Drosophila melanogaster: one gene and its partners. The protein of the gene in region 3 interacts with the protein of the main gene of each other region in a pairwise test. Each region holds a gene or a part of one and is shown on either strand. Other genes may lie near its edges. The genes, in order: CG31008, eEF1alpha1, slou and CG34168.

Region 1 (3,539 bases), 9.4 Mb from region 3:
GCAGCCATGTCTTCGCCACAAAGCCGTCTCGTGGGAGCAGCAAGGATCTGCCGGCTGTGCAGCAGCCCAAGAAGGAATCCCTGCCAGCTGCAGCTCCTGCTGCCTCGGCAGCCACCTCCACAGAGACAAAAGGTCCTAGCACAGCAGATAGGTTCAAGGACATGGCCACCACGGCGGCTGGCGTGGCAGCAGGATCAGCTGTGGGCCACGCTGTGGGCGCAGGACTCACGGGAATGTTCCAGGGACGTGGTCAGGCAGCCCCGGCCAAGGAGCAGCCTCAACAGGAGGGATCCTTGGCAGCTTCAGCTTCGCAATCAGTACCGAAACCTCAACTAGTGGAGGATGGTCCCTGCGCCTTCGAGCTGAGGCAGTTCCTCAAGTGCACCGAGGACAACAGCAGTGATCTCTCCGTTTGCAAGGAGTTTAACGAGGCAATGCAGCAGTGTCGGCGGCGCTATAATGTCTGAGATGCTAGGATGGTGACCTCATCCAGATTACAGAAGCAAATCAATGAGATTAATCTAAAGCATACATATATGTACATATGGTATTTAATTTGCAGTTGGCTACCCAAAAATAGACATTTTTTCGGAATAAAATGAAAATTTTTCGCCTTGTCAGACTGGTAGAAACATCCTTTTTGATCGGCGATCGAATTAAAAATTTTTTTTTTTTTCAATTTTTGCAAAAAATGATGATGTATTATAAAAAAGTGAAAATTTGGCAAAAAAATTTTTTTCTCAAAATTTGTAAAAAATTGATTGGGATAGAATGCTTAGAAAAACAAATGAAAAATCAGTGTGTTTCCCGACTTTTGTGGTCGATTTGGTGAAATTAAAACTCAAAATGTCTCCGGAAAGTGGGAAATAGACATGTTACAGTCATTCCTAACCAAATTTTGATATTCCTCCTCAATTGGTGCTATCTATCAATTTCGATTTACACTTTGAGCAATTGCCTTCCATTTTTTACGAGGACTGCGTAGAAAGAGCCTTCGGAGAAGCAAATTAATTGGCGTTATGCGGGCAGCCACCAGCAAGAACGAAGATCCATCCAACTCAACCCAGAGCTCAAGGCCATCCATCTTGCTTGCCGAAACATTATTGATGTTGATTGATTTATAAACAGTGCTGGGAGCGGCGAATCGAGTAGAGAGTTGGGCCGATTAAGTTGTAGCCAAAACAATAAACAAAATTAAATTAGCATCGCGTAGAGTTTTTCTTCACTTTTTCGCAGCTGAAAGTGGCAGCTGCTGTCGTCACATTTATTCACATGGCAGGCGGCTCACAATTTCAGCGAGCAAATATAATTTGCTTAAATATTCATAACAGAGTGAGTGGAAATTGTATAGTGCTGATGAACACGGACCCAGCATTTAAGGGGGAAATTCCCCACTCTCCACTGTGCAACATTAAACACAGCATCAATCAAGCGGCATTTGCAGCGGGTCTGTTTTCGCCTTTCTGCGGTTGGCAATAATTTAATGAAATATTCCGTTTGCCACATGAACTCGCTGCCAAAATTTAGCATATGGGGCACTGCGTAATTCGAATTAGGCCCAAACTTTTGGCAGTTCGGCTAATTGCCGCTGTGTTTTCGCTTCTCCCCCAAAAGCAAAAATAGTCACAACTCTAGCATGCTGCCAGCCAATTAAAGAATTTCCGTTGCACTCGCTAAAAGCAAAGAGGTTTGACTTTGTTGAAAGTCGAAAGCGTTAGTTCTTGCTGTCTGAAATACTCTTCGGGTAAAGCAATTTCCTTTGCGGTTCCACCAGCAACAAAAATCTAAAATCCATTTTGTTAATGTTTTTTGGGATGTTCATTAGGGTCCTTCGCTTAACTCAAAAGGGTGCGAGCGTAGGAAAAATATAAGAGACAAACAAAATTGTTTGAAGTTCAGACCATTTAACAATAAATTAGTATAAATAAGCTTTGTTGTTCAAAAGATTTCAATAGTAGCTCTGAACATTTTGTTCAGTGTATTTTGCGGGCCACATATCCCCACCAGATGAACCCCCCCTCCTTGTTGGAATTTTAAAAGGGAAGCCAGCTGGAGTTGTGTATTTGTATTGCTTTTATACCTCTCGCGTTTGCCGACAAATTCATTATGTGTTCGTAATTAGTGCGGGAAATGGGAAAAGCAAACGCAAAAAGTGAGAAGGGAAAACGAATTAGAATTCCTTTTTTCGTCCTCGCTGCAGGGTTCTGGCCACCAGGTGGCGCTGTTGCATGCACTTAGCAATTAGCTGACAGGGAATGCAATATAAATTAGCTGTCACAGCTGTAAAAGGATTCCCGGAGCAGGCCAGGTGTCTATGAGTAAGCCATCAAAATGGCACATGTGTCATTCGAAATTCTAATCTACCTTTTAAAAGTAAGTCTAATTCTGCTCGGCTTAAAATATACATAAATTTAAAGCCTGGAAAAGGGGAGAAAAGATGCCACGCAAACAGAGAAGTGCTTCGGTCAAAGCAGGCTCTACAAACTATATGCCTGCGGTGGTGCCCACCGTCACGAATTCCGAAATGGTCTTCAAGGAAGCGGCTGCCCACGCAGTGGGCGTGGCAGCAGGATCAGTCGTGGGTCATGCCATCGGATCAGGAATAACGGGGCTATTCAGGCGGCGTGACCAGCAGCCGCACCACAGCGATTTAGTCGAAGAAGGTCCTTGCGCCAAGGAAATGAAGGAGTTCTTGAAGTGCACCGAGGACAATGACGATCTCAGTGTGTGCAAGGAGTTCAACGATGCTGTGCGACGATGCCACCGCCAGTACAATATTTAGGAAGCTAGAAAGGGGAAGGGATTTTAATTTGTCAAATTATAAGACGTTAATGCGCAGCCTTACAAGTAACTCGCAATAAAATTTTAGTTACTAGACTTGCTAATAGTTTAATTATTTTACCCCTGCAGATACAGGGATAATAGTAACCCTATTGCTTCACAGACATTTATTAGAGCTCCGCTGCCATGTCATTGTCACTATAATCTGCGCATTACAGCCCGAAAACCCTTTTCCAATCATTAAATATTCCATTTTGTCCTTGGGTCCAATTTGAATAGACTTCAGCACTTCCAATCAAGTTCAGGCGATGTGGGTGCGCAATTAAAATGCTTTATGACAGGTCCTTCGTCCTTGAGCTTCCCCTGTTTTTTTTTTACCACTTTAAAGCTGCCCCATTGTCACATGCTCGCTGCTCCTTTGGCGCTGTTATTTTTCGTCATTCTCAGTTAATTGTGATTTTGTTTACTGTCATCCTTGCCTCTCCTGGCTCTTCTGGCGCCTGTCGCTCGACCCCTTGTCAGGATCTCGGCTTTGTTTGCCTTTCTACTTTGTCTGTGGATCCGGGCGCATATTTACTTTAATTTTGTTTTGTTATGTTACTTCACCACCGCCCAAAAATGAAACCCCTCCCCACCGATTTCAGCGTTGAACGCGCTTTTCTCCTCGCTTTGAGCGCTTTTGTTTCGCGTTTTCGCGTTTTTCCGTTTTTTTTTTTCGGTGGGCCCCAAACTTTTTCATTTTGTTTTTTTATCTGCTT
Region 2 (7,654 bases), on a different chromosome or scaffold from region 3:
ATCCTAGGGATCGCGATGAGGACAAAACACAAAGAAGGCACCTTCACGACTTCGTCGATCCACCGTTTGTGCTGGACAAATAGAGATCAGTGGGTGCATCCACTTCACTTTACTAAATATTTAAGCTAGGACACACAGAGTACCATTTTCCCACACTGTTTCACCTTTTTGTGCAAATTACTCCAATGTAAATATAGTTATATTTAAATCCATATATGTATTTTACGATCTTAGTTTATTTTCTAGTACATTTTTTAATTTGTTTTTATACAGATTTTACGAAGGAAATAATATATCCCATAACTTTAAACAGAAATTATAAAAAAACACTTGTTCCAACTTCGTTCGTTATTATTTAAATAAATAAATCAATGCATTTTTCTCTATTTGCGATGAGAAATAAAAGCCCCCCCCCCCCCCTCAAATACAATAAAAAATATTCATTATTCTTCAGATGCAATTGCTTGCTTTATTTAAACGATTGAGGTATTTGTTGTCAGATTCAATTGTTGTACTCTTCGACTAGCTCTTGTTTGTACTTTGTGGCATCGACGATAAGTGAACTTGGAGTTAGGGACGATCGATCATGGCGCTGAAAATCGGGAGGCAACAAGCAAAGAGAGTGCTCTTTTACGGGCTGGGTGGTAAAAACAAAAGAAATACAAAAATAGGGTTTTTATTTTTTTTGTAAATATAGTTATCGCTTCTATTCTGGTTCTTTTCTTGTGTACAAAGTAGTGTGTGCAAAAGTAGGGTAAGATAAATGATACATATCAAAGTATAAAGGTTAATTTAAACGATATCATAAATGCTACAGAGGATTCCTATATATGATATGATAAAACGAAGTCAACTCCGTGCATCATACCATATTTAGTAAACTAAAGATCGACGGGGAAGTGGATGAGGAGTGGATGCATAAATGCAAGTGTTTTCCCAGTGTGCACTCTTATCCTTGGGATCCACCGTTTCCCAATTTAGGCGGCCTCGTCTGCATTTAGCATTCGTATCCGTCGAAACTCCTTTCGATGGAAGAAATTAAACTTATGCTTCTGCTGAAACATCATCTTATCGGTCATCTTGCGCAGGACAGGTGTTGGTGTTATACTACTATTGTGTTCGCTGCTGCTGTTGCTGGTATTATTGAGTGGTGTTGTTGGCTGCATTATGATGTTGGTTATATGCTTGTTGTTGCTGCTACTACTGCGTGTTGTTGTTGTTGTTGAGTGGAAGCAAACCAGCTACTTCTTGCCCTTGGTGGCCTTCTCGGCGGCCTTGGTGACCTTGCCACCGGAGGCATCCTTGAAGTTGACAGCCTTAATGACACCGACAGCCACGGTCTGCCTCATGTCACGCACAGCGAAGCGACCCAGAGGGGGGAACTCCTGGAAGGCCTCCACGCACAGGGGCTTAGAGGGCACCAGGTTGACGATGGCAGCATCGCCAGACTTGATGAACTTGGGGTTCTCCTCGGTGGTCTTGCCGGAACGACGGTCGACCTTCTCCTTGATCTCAGCGAACTTGCAAGCAATGTGAGCGGTGTGGCAATCCAACACGGGGGTGTAGCCGTTGGCAATCTGACCGGGGTGGTTCAGCACGATGACCTGGGCGGTGAAGTCGGCGGCTCCCTTGGGGGGGTTAGCCTTGGAGTCACCGGCAACGTAGCCACGACGCAGCTCCTTCACGGACACGTTCTTGACGTTGAAGCCAACGTTGTCTCCGGGAACGGCCTCCTGCAGGGCCTCGTGGTGCATCTCCACGGACTTGACCTCAGTGGTGATGTTAGCAGGGGCGAAGACCACAACGGTACCGGGCTTCAGCACACCAGTCTCCACACGACCCACGGGTACTGTTCCAATACCGCCAATTTTGTACACATCCTGCAGGGGCAGACGCAGGGCCTTGTCGGTGGGACGGGCTGGGGGAAGGATGGCATCGAGGGCATCGATCAGGGTCTTGCCGTCAGCGTTACCCTCCTTGCGCTCCACCTTCCATCCCTTGAACCAGGGCATGTTGGTAGAGGGTTCCAACATGTTGTCGCCGTGCCATCCGGAAATGGGCACGAAGGCAACGGCGGCTGGGTTGTAGCCGATCTTCTTGATGTAAGAGGACACTTCCTTCTTGATTTCCTCATAACGGGCCTCGCTGTATGGTGGCTCGGAGGAGTCCATCTTGTTCACACCAACGATCAGCTGCTTCACACCCAGGGTGAAGGCGAGCAGGGCGTGCTCGCGGGTCTGGCCGTTCTTCGAGATACCTGCCTCGAATTCTCCGGTTCCGGCGGCGACAATCAGCACGGCGCAATCGGCCTGCGAGGTACCAGTGATCATGTTCTTGATGAAATCCCTGTGTCCGGGGGCATCAATGATGGTCACGTAGTACTTGGCAGTTTCGAACTTCCACAGGGCGATATCGATGGTGATACCACGCTCGCGCTCAGCCTTCAACTTATCCAAAACCCAGGCGTACTTGAAGGATCCCTTTCCCATCTCCTGGGCCTCCTTCTCGAACTTCTCGATGGTACGCTTGTCGATACCACCGCACTTGTAGATCAAGTGTCCGGTGGTGGTCGACTTACCGGAATCGACGTGTCCGATCACGACAATGTTAATGTGAATCTTTTCCTTGCCCATGTTGGATGATTACACTATGGCTGTTGTGTGTATTCGAGTGTTGGATTGACGGAACGTTGGAACATTGGAAGGTTGCAGGGTTCGGCGGGTTGGCGAGCAAGAGAGGTTGGAATAAACAAAGGGTAAAACAATTCGTTAGCATTCGGTGGGATTACAACTACAATTATTAGTGGGTATAACACTTTCTCATTTCCCTAGCGTACGTTCGACTTTTGTTTGCATGCGCGAGCACAACCTAACCTCAAACTCTTGCAGCCGTACAAAACGTGTTTTTTGAGGTTAGGTCCAGTGCCCGCATGTAAGGGTGTGGGTAAAACGAGTGGGGCGCAACTACAGAAAAGAGCGTGCAAATAAAATTCCATATGGAAACTCGATTTTGTTTCAGTGATTTTGGTATTTTTGCTTTCGTCAACTGTCTTCAGTAGCAGAACTGAAAAATCATCATCATGTTAAATCGAAGAGTCCAAAGGAAAATTCCAGCAAATTTAATTCGCAAATACACATGTGCTTATCTGCCTATGCGTGTGTATATCTATGCCTGTGTATTTGTGTGACGCTGTTGCCGGCCGGAGGAAAAGTAAGAGAGGAATAGAGAGAGAGAGAGACCAAAATGGCGGATGTGCATTAGTGTGCGTGTGTGACTTGTACAAATGCAAGCGATCTCGCCGCGGTGGCACAATTGGTAATTGGAAAGAAATGAAAAAGAGAGGGGCACACAACGAATTATTCAAGAACGTAGTGCAGCGGCAGCCATTTTACCAAAACCAATTATGGAGTCGGTTGGAAATGGCGAAATAGCTGATGCGAGTGCCATTTCACCAGATATGCTAATGGGCTGGAAACCCAAAAAAGCACATTTTTTCGCTTGTTGCCAGGCGAATTTTTTTCGCCCACTTGACTCACGCCACTGGGTCGCCATTTTAGAATTCCATGCCGCAAAAAGAAAGAATAAGGAATATCTATAGGTCATGACAAAGGCAAGAGAGAAAGCACGTTTTTTTTTCTCGGTTAATGAGCACATCTGGTGGATGACCTCTGTGTCCGGCGTGGGCGTGGCAAAGTAATTACACACTAAGTGCACCATATTGCAGGGCGAAAATGCGGCCGGAAAAGCCGGAAAATTATTTTGAGAATGCTGGGAACTTTAACTGGGAACGCCAGTTAAAATTTTTGCCTTTGCAGACTTGCCACGTGTTTGCTTCTATGGCCACCTTTCACTTTGGAAAACCGCAGTTAGAGGTTATCTCCGGGTTTATTACACACACACAGGAAAAACACTGGAAATATGCACAAATTCGGCGTCTCAGCTGCATATTTGTTTATAAATTGTTTTCTGGCTGCAGTCCCGTTGCAGAAATTACTTAATTATAGCCTCGCAGGTAAAACTTACTCTCGAATAAGCTGAATGAGAAATCACGAAGTCTAAGCGGCGACGGATTCGAACAAAGTGAACGAGCGTTCGGCAGAGCTCAGCACAGGAAGCCTCGTTTGACACATGGTGTGACCGAAGCTACGCAACTGTCAAAAGAGCAGAAACCGTGTTCTCACTGCGGTGTTTCCACTACGCGCGAATGAAGCACTTCATTTTATTGAAATTTAAGTGATTGAAAGTGGCAAAATACAATAACCTAACGATTGAGGGATTTAAAAAACCTTGTTTGCTCGACATTGTTTTTATATGAAAAACTAAATAATCAGTGATTCCAAAAATATTTTCTACAAAACGATGTCTATAATTTCTATACGTAATATTGGAACACATATCTCTTAATATTTAAAAACTATAACAATTGCATTAGTAGTCCGCATTTTGAACTTTTAGACTAGAACCTGAACTTTAATTTGTATGTGAACCCTAACGTAATAGAACTTTAAATAACAATAGAAGCTTGAGATCGTTTAAATTTATGTAATACGTTTCATTTATTTATACATTTTTTGGCGTCCGTTGCTACAACTAAAATATGCTACAAATAAAACTATAAGTAATTTGGTATTGTATCAATTTATACAATATTGTAAAAATTTATAACTTAAGATCTCACGTTTTAATACTTTTTCTTCTGGAATTCATCAGAATGCTAATATTTATTTGAATTTGTAACTTACTGCTTAATATTTTTTGTTAGACTATTTTTTCACTCAGTTTTCACTTGTACTCAATAAATTTATTCATTGTGCATAGAACAAAAGTTGTTAGCCTGCCCCTTATATAGGACGCAATTAAAAGTTCCTAAGTGTTTTCCTAATTTTGTGAAATTAATTAATTAGTTATTAATAATATGATTATTGTTATGCTTGCGAAATCAGTTAACAATAAATGCAATTACCATCTTTTATGAAATGATAATTTGACAAAATTTTATTATAAATCGGTATCAATTAAATTAATTTAAATCTAGATCTCAACTTTTCTGTGTGACTGGAAAGAATTATAGCTAAAGCATTTAAAACCCACACATATAGACATTAGTCATTAATAAATGATGAGCCATCTTTATTTATTGTTTACATATGCAGGAAAGCTCACAACTGAGAGCTTTTTCCAACTTTAGACATTTTCGGCCTAGCCCCACCTGGCCACACTACGACGAAACAGAATAAGAAGCGACGTGGCGAAAGAGGCAAAAAGCGAATTCAATCGTTGAAAAATACCGAACCGGTCCGGTACTCAGTTTTTGTTGTAGAAGTAGGCGTTCGACGGCCTAGTTGAACTTGAATTATTCACCGATATCGCTTCAAGTGAACCCAAATAATGATGTGGCGCCTTGCTGGAGTGCTCCTACTAGGCTTCATCGCCATCTCGTCCGGAGCGGAGCAGGATGTCCTGGAACTGGGGGACGACGACTTTGCCACCACCCTAAAACAACACGAGACGACGCTGGTCATGTTCTACGCCCCCTGGTGAGTTAGTGAGTGGGCGTGGCCGGGCGCCATCCTACAACAAATGCATTGCGTGTGCGATTCGCGTATAATCCGCTTGTTGCGTCCGCAACTTAATTCGATTCCCAATGCCCAGTGCCGACCGATGCCCGATTTTCCGGCCATCGCAAGCGCAAAGTACACGTCAGCGTTTGCCTTGCTTTTGCCGGCAAATAAAGAAGGAACGAGTGACGGAACGAAACGAGACGCAAAGAGAGGGGCAATGATGATATGCCAGTATTGGTGCCGTCGGCCATTTTAGAGCGCGGGGTGCCAAAGTGCCTAGTTGGTACAATTTCCGTGCAATTCCTGCTCCACTTGTCCACTGGCTAATGATAGTGAGCAGGCATAGGGGCCCCAGTGTACATAGCGCATCTTTTATTATAGTTTCTTATGCCTATGCATTATACCCATAATCCCAGGAATGTGTAATTCTAAGGGTTAACTTAGATTTAGCTTGAAACTGGTTATCATAGTCTGAAACACTCACAGTTCTCATACAAATGTAATTTCCCAACAGTTTACACCAACCATATTAAAACTTCAATTTTAATTGCCTGCCTACTCACAAAAGTTATGCTGATTGTGCTATAAATTTCTCATGTCAGTAGACACATTTTTAACTTCCATCGTAATCCACACTGAACACAATAACCTTTTAATACATTTTTGTTTAGTACATAACACATATTTACTGTGCCTATTTACTCTCTTTTGAGCCATTTGTTTGCCCATTATCAGGGGTAAACTATAAGCTCACACTTGGACAATGAACTAGGTAAATTATTAGCGTTTTTTTTGCCGGCCGGCTTTCGAAATCCCCAAAGAGCTGTTGAACTACTTGGCATGGAGACTTGATTCCCTCATGACGAACCTTATCAGTATTCAAGCATAAATACACAGGGATGAAGTTGAAAAAGTTGTACACTGCAATAAAACTGCTCTTTTCATTATAACATAGTTAACTTAAGGCATCACTTATCTTTATCAAAAATGAATTATTATCTGCACTGCTAAGAGTGCAGACTATACTCTGCTGTTTCAAATAAGTACCAAGTCGTTTTTCTCTCTGTATGCCTAATGGGCACTTGTACTTGTGTGATAAGACAGTTGATAATTCCAGCACCCTTACTTTAATTACAAGCTAGTTTTTTGGGAACTTGTCTTCCCGTTGCCTTGATAACAAATGATGAATTAGATAGTATTGTTACCAACATAATGTTTAAGTGACGTGTCCTAACAGAGTGTTTTTTCCTGTTTAAGGTGCGGCCACTGCAAGCGATTGAAGCCCGAGTACGCCAAGGCGGCGGAGATCGTGAAAGACGATGATCCGCCAATCAAACTGGCCAAGGTTGACTGTACGGAAGCTGGAAAGGAAACGTGTAGCAAGTACTCCGTCAGCGGCTACCCAACGTTGAAGATTTTCCGTCAGGATGAGGTGTCGCAGGACTACAATGGACCACGCGAAGCCAGCGGCATTGCCAAGTACATGCGCGCCCAAGTGGGACCCGCCTCCAAGACCGTGCGCACCGTTGCCGAGCTGAAAAAGTTCCTGGACACCAAGGACACCACGCTGTTCGGCTACTTCAGCGACAGCGACTCCAAACTGGCCAAGATTTTCCTGAAGTTCGCCGATAAGAACCGCGAAAAGTACCGCTTCGGACATTCAAGCGAAAAGGAAGTCCTCGATAAGCAGGGCGAAACGTAAGTGGGAGGCTCTAATCAAGACTCGTACATCTGTGTATTATGTGTTTTTCGTTTTATATATTTTCTAAGTGTTAATAAACTAGAGCCTAGTTGGGATTTTCATATTTGTTTAAATGTAATGAAAGGTTCATCCATTTCATTGTTCATTTAACTTGCTCCAAAGTTTTCTCCAAAAAGTTTCCACTTTTAGGTTTTTATGTTAAAATGTGTTAATGTAAGTAATTAAAATATCTGTGATGCTTTTCAATCCGTTCCAGCGACAAGATTGTGCTTATTCGTGCCCCCCATCTGAGCAACAAGTTCGAGTCATCTTCCATTAAGTTCGAGGGTAGCTCCGAGTCCGATCTGTCTACCTTTGTCAAGGAGAACTTGTAAGTAGTTTGGAAATGTTG
Region 3 (5,748 bases):
GCAGCAAAGGCATCGAAAAAATCATTGGGAACCCGAAACCTGATCCGCAGCAAGACAAACAGTTGGTGGGGGGAAAACAGAGAGTGAAAAAAGGAAATTTAGCTTCCCAGCTGGCAATGGTTTTTCCCCAATTAAAACATCAATCAATCAATTAAAAGCAATTCTATTGAAAATCCTTATTGGATATGAGTGCAGCTTTTTCGGTCTAAACAAGTTTGCGTTGGAAAAACGAAGAGTGCCAGCCTCCCAAATCGGAGATTTTTGTATTTTTTTTTGATTGCTCTGGCATTTGCGCATTTGTTTGCCATTGAATACACGCAAAATATAAATGCTTTCATTGCTAACATAAACACACCACAACACACAAGCATCAACACACATCCGCACCTACATATGTACGTGACTTGCGCCGGAAAGCAGGCAACACGAAAAATCCCAGGGCCTTCGAAATGGCAGAGTCCCAGATTTCGAGGGTGCTGCTGGCAAAACGGAAAGCCAAATTCAAAATCAAAACATACCCAAAAACGATACAAGCAGCAGTATAAATATAACATGTGCCTTCAACCACCCACAGGAATCCCGGGCACAGAAAAAACAGAAGATGCGGATGGGAAGTCGAGCTGTTTGCAGGTGTCCTGCCCATCCCCTTTCATTGCCCGTGTACTCGAGCACGGAGTGTTGCACAGAGACACTCGGGGGAACGTGCCTGGTTGGTGTGTCCTGAATTTCCCCCGATTTCAATCAAATCAGACAGCTAACCATCAAAGTGATTGCGGACTCATTGGGTGTGGGGCCGGGGTCTAAGTCAGTTGAGTAATAAATATCCCCACTCACCAGACATATCCTCGCTCTGATCGTCATCCAATCGCTCCTGCATTTCCTCGTCCCTCTCGTAGCTCCACTGCCTGGGATGGCCGAAAGGACCACTTGGCAGCTTGTTGCCCGTGAACTTGTTCGGATCCAGTATGTTCTCTACGGAGAAGGCCAGCCGCTTTGTGGCCGCATCTCGATCACTGGAGGCACTCGTGGAGGCCGAACTCGGATTCGCCGCAGCACTGCTGTTCACCGATCGCGTCAGATCCACTGGGCAGACCTACAAGGATATAGGGGAAAGTAGGGATATAGAATTAAGTAATGAATTCATTGACAGCAATTATTGCTCTTTATTTGCTAGCAATATTCACCACTTTGCATTGAATAAATCCTACGTTTAATTGCCAAACTGATCTTAAAAACTAATTGTTTTGAATAATTTTCTACCTTGTAAAGATGGTTTGTTGCAAAAATGAGTCAAATAATTATTTCGATAACAGCTTTAATTAAGAACCAGTTGCCTTTTCTTGGTAAGTTTTTAAATTGAGTGTTGAAAGGAATACCTTAATCACCGACTGGTAAACTACTTAAAATTTGTGTACCTTAGTTGTCCTAGGTGATATAATTTAGTTAAACTAAAATATAAAAAATATATTTGGAAAAGTATACCAATTATAAATAAAAATCTATAGATATAAATCAAATTCCTCAACATACCACACGCTTAAAAACAAAATGAAAATCTCAAAATCGAGCTATAAACATACAAAAAGGTTAATTTTGGCATATTTTCTCGACCAAGTGTTAATTGGGTTAATTACTCGAACGCAAAATCTAATAAAAAAGCTAATTGAGCAGAACATAAAATCAATTTGTATTAGCCAACGCTAATAAAAGCTACCAATTGTGTGGGCAATAAATATCAACATTAATAATAAATTTGCTATTTAAGTTTTCAAATTTTCACTAACAGCCTTCATTTTAGAACCAGTATTTTAATAAATCCATTTTGTATAATTGGCACACCTTAATATTAAAATCACAAAACATTTAATCTAAACTTTTTCTATATGATTTTACGAAATCCTTGCACTTAGTGCACTGAAATCTAGTTATCTTACCGACGGCGTGCTGTGCGATCCATCGTTGCTGTCCTCGTCGTTGCCATCGACGTTGAGCTCCTCGCTGGTGTCGCTCCTCGCGTATGTGGCTGCTGCAATTTGACGCGAGGTGGCCGCCGCAGCAGCTGCCGCCGCCGCCAGGCCACCCAGCTGTATTCGGAATCCGTAGTCGCTCAAGTCGCGTCCACTGGGCGATCCGGAGCTGGAGTTGGAGATGGAGATGCTGGCATTGGACACGGAGTTCGAGGCGGACGCCAAGGCGGAGGTGCTGGAAGCTTGAGTGGTGCGGGCTGCCACCGCAGCCACCAGCTTAATCCGCTCGAGATCCATGTCCGATGGTGCGGCAACCTGCTGCTGTTGTGGTGGCTGCGAGGAATGTGGCGGATTTTGGGGGGGAGCGATGGGTGGACTCATCTGCTGGTCGGAATGCATGGCCGGGGATGTGGGCGGCGACAGGGGCGAGGTGGCCGGCGAGGGTGGGGCAGTGCTGCTGCTGCTGGGAGCCCTCAAATGAAAGACCGCCGACGGATGCGGATGGGGATGCGGATGAGGGTGTGGATGCGGATGCTGATGCGAATGCGGATGTGCGGGATGCTGGTGATGCTGATGCTGATGATGGTGCATGTGCTGCTGGGCGGCGGCCAGGAACTGCGGATTCTGCAGCAAGTGGGGATGCTGCTGCAGCAGGGCCGCATGAGGATGCTGCAGTGGCTCCGGCCTTGCCAAGTGGCGCACAGCATTCAGTTCCAGGAGCTTTCGCTGCTGGGCTGGCGAGGAGAAGCTTACGGATCCCACCGATGCTGGAGGGGATTGCGAGCGACGTGTATTGCTGTTTGCATTGTGATTAGTTAGACTGTTATTGTTGTTGTGATTGGGCTTCTCCTTATCCTGGGAGTCCTCCTGCAAGGGGCTCAAGCGGCTGAGCAAGCTGCCCGATTCACTGCTCATCTGCTTGAGCCGTTCGAGGGAGTACCTCAGCTCCTGCTCCTGTTTTCCCGCCACCGCTGCGCCATTGGCGCTGATGATGAACTTGGGTATCTTGGCCGCTGGCGGAGTGCTGCCACCGCCTGTGCCGGACACCACACTGTCCGCACTCGCCACATCCGGCGAGGTGTTGGACTTGGGCGAGTCCGGGTTCGAGTTGGGACTCATCAGGCCACCGACGGCTGTGTTTTGGGCTGACGCACTATCGCTGGCCTTTTGCGCCGGCGATTGCAACATGACCATTTTTGGGTCTTTGGATATATTGTCTTGGATTCACTGGGCGTTCACTGAGAGTTCGAGTTCACTGAGTGTTCACTGCGCGTTGCGTGTCTTGTCACCTTGAGGGCAGCCAATCGACTGAATCCGGAGATGCCAATATCCGACGTGGACGCTGCCTATGCTGCCGCTGCTGCCGTCGTCGTCCGACGTCCGATTATCCTGGTCGTAATCCGCGCGCGACGACTCACACGCTCAAGAGCCAGAAGCGTAATGATGAGGGTTGTTTCCGATTTCTCCGAGTTCTTAATCCAACAGATGTGCCGTGTTGTGTGCCTGTGGCAAGTCAATAGCTAAATGCTGATGCTGCTGCTGCTGCTGCTTCTGCTTCTGGTGGTAGTGCTGGTTATGGTGGTGGTGGTGGTGGTGGTGGAGGCAGTTATCGTGGTATGGTGGTGGTTTTTGCTTTGAGTGACTCTCTGTGCGGCGCTCTACACGCCCACCGCTGAGTGGTTCTTTGAGTGGATTGGCTCCTCCCCGCCGTGGCTCTAATCTCTACTAGCATCTAATGATTTAATTTGCCTTCCACTCGTTAGCAAATGTAATGGTCTGTCGCAAGTCTAAGCCACAGAGCGGCAGGATGCGAGCGCGTGAGAAGAGGAGAGGAGAGGAGAGGAGAGGATTCCGGAGTGCTGTTTTACATAGTTCTTCACTCAACTGTAATAGCCACCCGATGGAAACAAAGGCCAGCCATACAGCCACGCAGCTAGCCAGCCAGCTGTCCAGCCATCCGTGCAGCCTTCGCCTCCCGAGGATGTGAGTAATTGTCAAATTATTTAGCGCAAAATTTGTTTGTTTATGCGGTTGGGTGCTTGCGAAATGGATCTCAACTTTTTGCACATTTCTCTCAGTTCTTGTTTTTATTTATTTGTACTATATGTTTTTCTGTTTCATATTTTCGCCAGTTGTGTGTTGAGTTTGCTTTGCTTTTGGCATGCCTGGTTTGTTCTTAGTCATTTATGCATGAATGCTTTGTGCTTTCTTCAGCTTAATTGAATTTTTGAATATTTTCGTGGCCGTAATTATGTTGCTAATTAGTTGGTTTATTTACTTTTCGCTTTTGATTTCTTTCTCTTTTATTATTCGAACGAAAAAAAAACACATCCTTGTGGTTTTTCTCCTTGACACTTCCTATGTAAAACTCAAAGCGTTCGAGGGGGACAGCCACACTATAGCCGTGCTCTTCTGCTCGCACTCTCTCTCTCTCTCTTTCGTCGGGCTTCTTTCTCTCTTACTCCTGCGCCTGCTCGCTCTCGGAAAATTCTTTAAAATTGAACAAAAATTTATATGCGCTTTGGCACAGACGATTTAATATCGCATCCAATTTGCGGTTTATACGCATCGCAGCAGTGGCCTTCAGTGGGGCGGGCTGGGTGGTCGAGGGGTGAATGAATGGATAGCTGGATGCCTGGTTCACTGGGGATAGGCCACTCGGCTCTGGGGGTTTTTCTTCTGATTCGTTTTTGGTTGTGGGGACAATGGGGCGTATAAGTGACATCGTTAAATGGACACCGGGCGCTGCTTAATGAACTCCAACGCTGGAATGTTGGGTGTTAGCTACTGCTTCTATATATCCACTGGCTTCACTTCGCCGCTCGTTAGCAAGGCTCGTCTTCTTCCTTCTATAATTAACCGCAGATCGGGGTGGCGAAGGGAACTCGGATGCTTAATGAGCAGCTTGTTATGCCGTTTTTCGTTTTAATTAGTTTTAAGATGCTGGCCACCAACACCAGAGCGTCGGGCACTCATTTTAATTGGCCCATTGATGGCGGAATCTCGTATATACTATACTCCGCACTCAGCGCATTATCACACTCGGTTGCTCATCCACGACAGTGGGACATCATCCTTTGGCTGGGCCCGTTTCTCGCTGTGTAATAAGTGCTTAACTCTTTACATGCAAAATTAAATGATGCGCATACGCACGGTAAAACCGCAAATTATTTTAATTGCTTGTCTCGTCATTATTCATTATTTAAGTGCGCTCAAACAGCCGACGTATACGGAACACGCTATAGAATGTCCATATACATACATATGTATGTGTGCATGTATGCATAAGTGTGAGTGTGTGAGTGGGCCGGCAAAATTGGCAGTTCGCCAGACGCACACACGAAAGCCGCTGTTTACATAGACATCAAACTTTTGGCGCTGCGGAAAAGCGGAAAATTGCTCTTGCTGTCGCATGTGGCCTTCTCTCCCTCTCACTCTCGCTGTCTCCCTTTCTCGCTCTCTCTCTGCCTCTCTCGCTCACTATCTGATGTACTTACTCTTCCATTTAATTAGTGAAAATAAGTATTAAATGAGCAGCTCTTGTTAAAATAAATAGTGCATGCAATGGCGGCCGCCCGCCCCTTTTCCTGTTTGCTTTTCCCGTTGGCTTTCAACAGGCTGTGCAAGATTTACAACTAATTAAAAGGCAAATAAAAGGCTAGCAGAGCGATGGGGAAAATCGGAAAATCGATAGGCTGATAATATGAGCCGCTGACCTCGCGACAAAAGGCAATTAAAAGCACAAGTGCGCGGTCATCTGCATAATTATGCGATAATTAAA
Region 4 (3,530 bases), on a different chromosome or scaffold from region 3:
GAGGAGAATCGTATGGAGCTCATGAGCTTGGGCCACAGCTCTGGCTCAACAATACTGACTCAATTGGCCGTCGGCGATGTCAAAGCTCAAGATTCGGAGCAAACCGATACAGGTGGCGATGGCATGAACGTGGGTCAGAAACATGATGATGACATCGGCAATACCACTTGTCCCTGGGTGAAAATGGAGCACGCACTGGAGCAGCAGAAGCTAAAGGAGCCGATGTCTGTGGAGCAACCGAATAAGAAAGAACCGTCCGAGGTAAAGAGCCAAATCTACATACCACCTGCTCTCCGCCAGAGCCAAGGTGACTTCAATCGACGGGATCAGGCTGAGAGCCGTCTGCGTAAGGTTCCATCCAAGATGTCCGGAAAACCTCAAGCTCCTGATCTCAACAGTGACGAGTATTTCCCCAGTCTTAGCAAAGCACTCAAACGCACCAAGTAGCCGTATCACGATGATATACTCTTTAAACTTACCGTTTCTGTTGTTCACTATGTTTAACGATATCAATTTTTCTGGTCGATCTGATGCGGGGTGCCTCGATTAAATAAAATTGAAAGCAATCAGCAAGCCCATCTGTTTTAGTGGTGTTTTACTCGTAAACAAATTTGCACTCAACAGGCCCATTAGCATTACACGTCTTTTTGGCTGGTCCCCGATGTATCGTTAGCCGTAAACGAGCCAAATATTTACAATCAAATGGGGTTTAGCCTTAAATGCACCCGGCGGACTGAAAAGAAAACCAAAAACGGCAAATTACGAGATGGAATTTTGTGATTGTTTCCACAGAATGCATGCCAAATATTTAATTAGGTTTGCTAACTGTTGATAGCAATACATGTGAAGTGAAATTAAAGTGGTCTATTTTTGAATTATACGTATAATTTATTAACATCTATTTCTGATGGCATAATCTTTCATCGAACACAAATCTTTGGATCCACTTTGCCTGACAACTTTTCAGCGTGGCTCCTCATCTTCGACAAGGCCTCACGGCTGCAATCTTTAAAGCTCCTGTTCCAGATCGCGGATAAAGAAACCCTACATTCCTTCTAAGCAGGCTAACAATGTCCACCATACGGCCCGTAGCATGAGCAGCAACCATATGGGCCACAAGGACCGCAACAGTGGTTGACCGAACGGAACCACTGGCCATTGTAGGGTCCGCAGAGCAGGCAGGGTCCCAGTCCGCCAGTCGGTCCACAGCAAGTGCCGGGCATCGAGCACATTCCTGGATTGCACATTTTATTCTGAAAACGAAATGAAACGAATCGAGGATATTTTCAAGAAACAAATTCGTTTGTTGTTCACACTCACATTAGCCTGATTACGGAAGTAGGATTTTCAGTCCTAGAAATTTGGTAGTCGTACAAATAGATGTTTTCTGTTGGAGAACCGAAACTATAATGAGCTAAAGCCACTAGCTTGGTCCACAAAGTTCTACAGATTTAACTTTGATTTCATGGCCTTCTATGTTGTGGTTTCATGGCCTGCTTTTAAAATGCTTTTTTCCAAATTTTAAAATTTGATTAACTATATATACAGTTAGCCTCTTAGCCTCTTATCTAATTCGCTTTAAGAATTTTAATTCATAAAACCGTTCCCGATTGTTTGTGTGTCCCATAAAATTCCACTCCATTGCTCCTCCAAAAATACTTCAGTCCGTCCCGAAGGACTTCCCATTCCCCTAAAACTCTCGATGTCATAATTTAGCCGAAGGCGCAACAAGTCGGAAAAGCCAAGCCGCGACTGATTTTTCCTCTTTGCCCCACCTTTCATTGTTTTACCAAGAGCAGAGTTTTCTTAAGCATTTTGTGTTGGGCAATGCACACAAACCTATTTTTCTTCACAGCCGGGATTCCGTCTTCTTGTTTACGGACAACAGAGCCGGGATTCGCAGTCAAAGTGAAGTAAAGTCACTTGACAAGTTTTGTCACGTGCGTCACATGTTGGAATGTCCCCCAGCCACCCAGGCCACCCACTTTTCCGACTCTACCCATATTTCCACTCTGGCTTCTGAGCATTTGGAAGCAATTTTCCAGGCATGCCTTGCCGCTTCTGTCGTTGTCGTCATTTCATTGTTTCAAAATTGTTGCTCATGTTGTTTCTGTTGTTGACCTGGTTCTCTGTTTTCTTTTCTTTTTTTTTTGCCACGTTTCTTGGTTACCAACCGGTCTGCTTCAACTGAAAAGAGCTCTTGCTGGCGTAAATGTGTTTGTGATTATTTAGTTATGGCATCTAATTGAGTTTGGTGTTTGTTTGGCTGGCGCGGGAGTGTGCAAAGTGTGCTTATGCAATAGCTAATTGAGTCGATTACCCCAACACTTTTCACGTTTTCACCCAAATAAGCTGTAAGGCTGAGTGTAAATTAATCCATCTCGAAGTTCCTAATTTTTATGAGTTTAAGAAAATAAGTAAAAAAAACTCTGAAGGATGAAGAATTCTGTACATTTTACAAGTTTATTTACTTATAAAGCTCATGTACATCGATTTTCCAACATCACTATCTCATCTATTACTTAATCGAATTAAATGAAGGAAAGGCCAAGAAAATTTGATCGGATTAACTTCTTATCTTTTACCAACATTAAATTAAAGCACTTCCGCCCTTCGTAAATAGCCCGTTCGTTTGGTGGCCTTTTGGGTCTGGTTGAGCTTATTTTCTGTTCCGATTCCGGAACCCCGAATACCCCGGGAAAATTCCCGTATCCCCTTCCGTAACCAAACATCATCTCCATCGCGTGTTGGTCTCGTATTACAGCATTGCATATTCGCAGGCGCGTGCGCTCCCATTCGATTTGAACTCCATGGCGACTTTAAGGAAAATGCATCGAAGAGCCGAATATGTTGTGACTGTGAAGCTTAATGTTTCGTGTTGATGTGACTTTTTTCCACTGTTTTTTTCCGGCTTCTTCGCTGGTATTTTTACAGTTTTCAGCAATGCCTTTTTCAGCCCGCTCAGAAGTTCAATGTCCCCCATTTTATGAGCGTCCGTGCAGCGGAAGTTTTGGAGCGATAAGTTTTTGGTTCCGTTCTTATGTTTTTGATTTATTTGTTTGTAACTCACAGCTTAAAAGCGGAAGAAAACTCCATTAAAATGTTTAATCATAACTAATAATGCATAATTGCACAATAAATTTTAAAATATACATACATATGAGGAAAGCTACAAGTGCTCACATAGATTCTACATAGTCAAATAGAAAACTTTATTTAATTTAAAACCATAAAATATTAATTATTCATTTATGTAACTTATAAATAAAAATTAAACTTAATACACAATCTGTACTCTTTAAAATATAATTATTACTATCGACAACAAAGGAAATTTTCGGGTAGTAAAAATAGATTTCTGATTAATAAATTGGCAAAATACCTTCAAAGGAAGTCTGTTGTGGTCACTTGCCTGTCTGAATAATCCAGCGATGGGGACTTTTATTGACGAAGCACTTGCAGTCAGGCGCAGTGGAAATGGATGCTGTCTGACTTTGTTAGTGATTCAGTGAATCAGGATACCATATCTA

The links.
Region 1: the proteins of slou (region 3) and CG31008 interact in a two-hybrid assay, tested with the Drosophila melanogaster proteins (one large-scale study listed by BioGRID).
Region 2: the proteins of slou (region 3) and eEF1alpha1 interact in a two-hybrid assay, tested with the Drosophila melanogaster proteins (one large-scale study listed by BioGRID).
Region 4: the proteins of slou (region 3) and CG34168 interact in a two-hybrid assay, tested with the Drosophila melanogaster proteins (one large-scale study listed by BioGRID).

What each region holds. Positions count from the first base shown.
Region 1 is NT_033777.3:30,988,815-30,992,353, reverse strand, and holds CG31008 (uncharacterized protein), read left to right. Parts: upstream 1-2,347; 5' UTR 2,348-2,437; coding exon 2,438-2,782; 3' UTR 2,783-2,876; downstream 2,877-3,539. Other genes in the region: CG31007 (uncharacterized protein), read left to right, coding at 1-467.
Region 2 is NT_033778.4:11,888,554-11,896,207, reverse strand, and holds eEF1alpha1 (eukaryotic translation elongation factor 1 alpha 1), read right to left. Parts: upstream 5,074-7,654; 5' UTR 4,964-5,073; intron 4,813-4,963; exon of another isoform or gene 4,743-4,812; intron 4,087-4,742; exon of another isoform or gene 4,024-4,086; intron 3,086-4,023; exon of another isoform or gene 3,013-3,085; intron 2,667-3,012; exon of another isoform or gene 2,654-2,666; 5' UTR 2,634-2,653; coding exon 1,242-2,633; 3' UTR 688-1,241; downstream 1-687. Other genes in the region: MCPH1 (microcephalin), read left to right, coding at 1-83; ERp60 (endoplasmic reticulum p60), read left to right, coding at 5,389-5,537, 6,819-7,259, 7,520-7,633. UniProt on the Drosophila melanogaster protein: This protein promotes the GTP-dependent binding of aminoacyl-tRNA to the A-site of ribosomes during protein biosynthesis.
Region 3 is NT_033777.3:21,553,698-21,559,445, forward strand, and holds the start of slou (slouch), read right to left. Parts: upstream 3,486-5,748; 5' UTR 3,162-3,485; coding exon 1,935-3,161; intron 1,094-1,934; coding exon 835-1,093; intron 1-834. UniProt on the Drosophila melanogaster protein: May play a role in specifying the identity of particular somatic muscles and neurons of the CNS.
Region 4 is NT_033779.5:16,133,842-16,137,371, forward strand, and holds CG34168 (uncharacterized protein), read right to left. Parts: upstream 1,432-3,530; 5' UTR 1,321-1,431; intron 1,254-1,320; 5' UTR 1,248-1,253; coding exon 1,065-1,247; 3' UTR 873-1,064; downstream 1-872.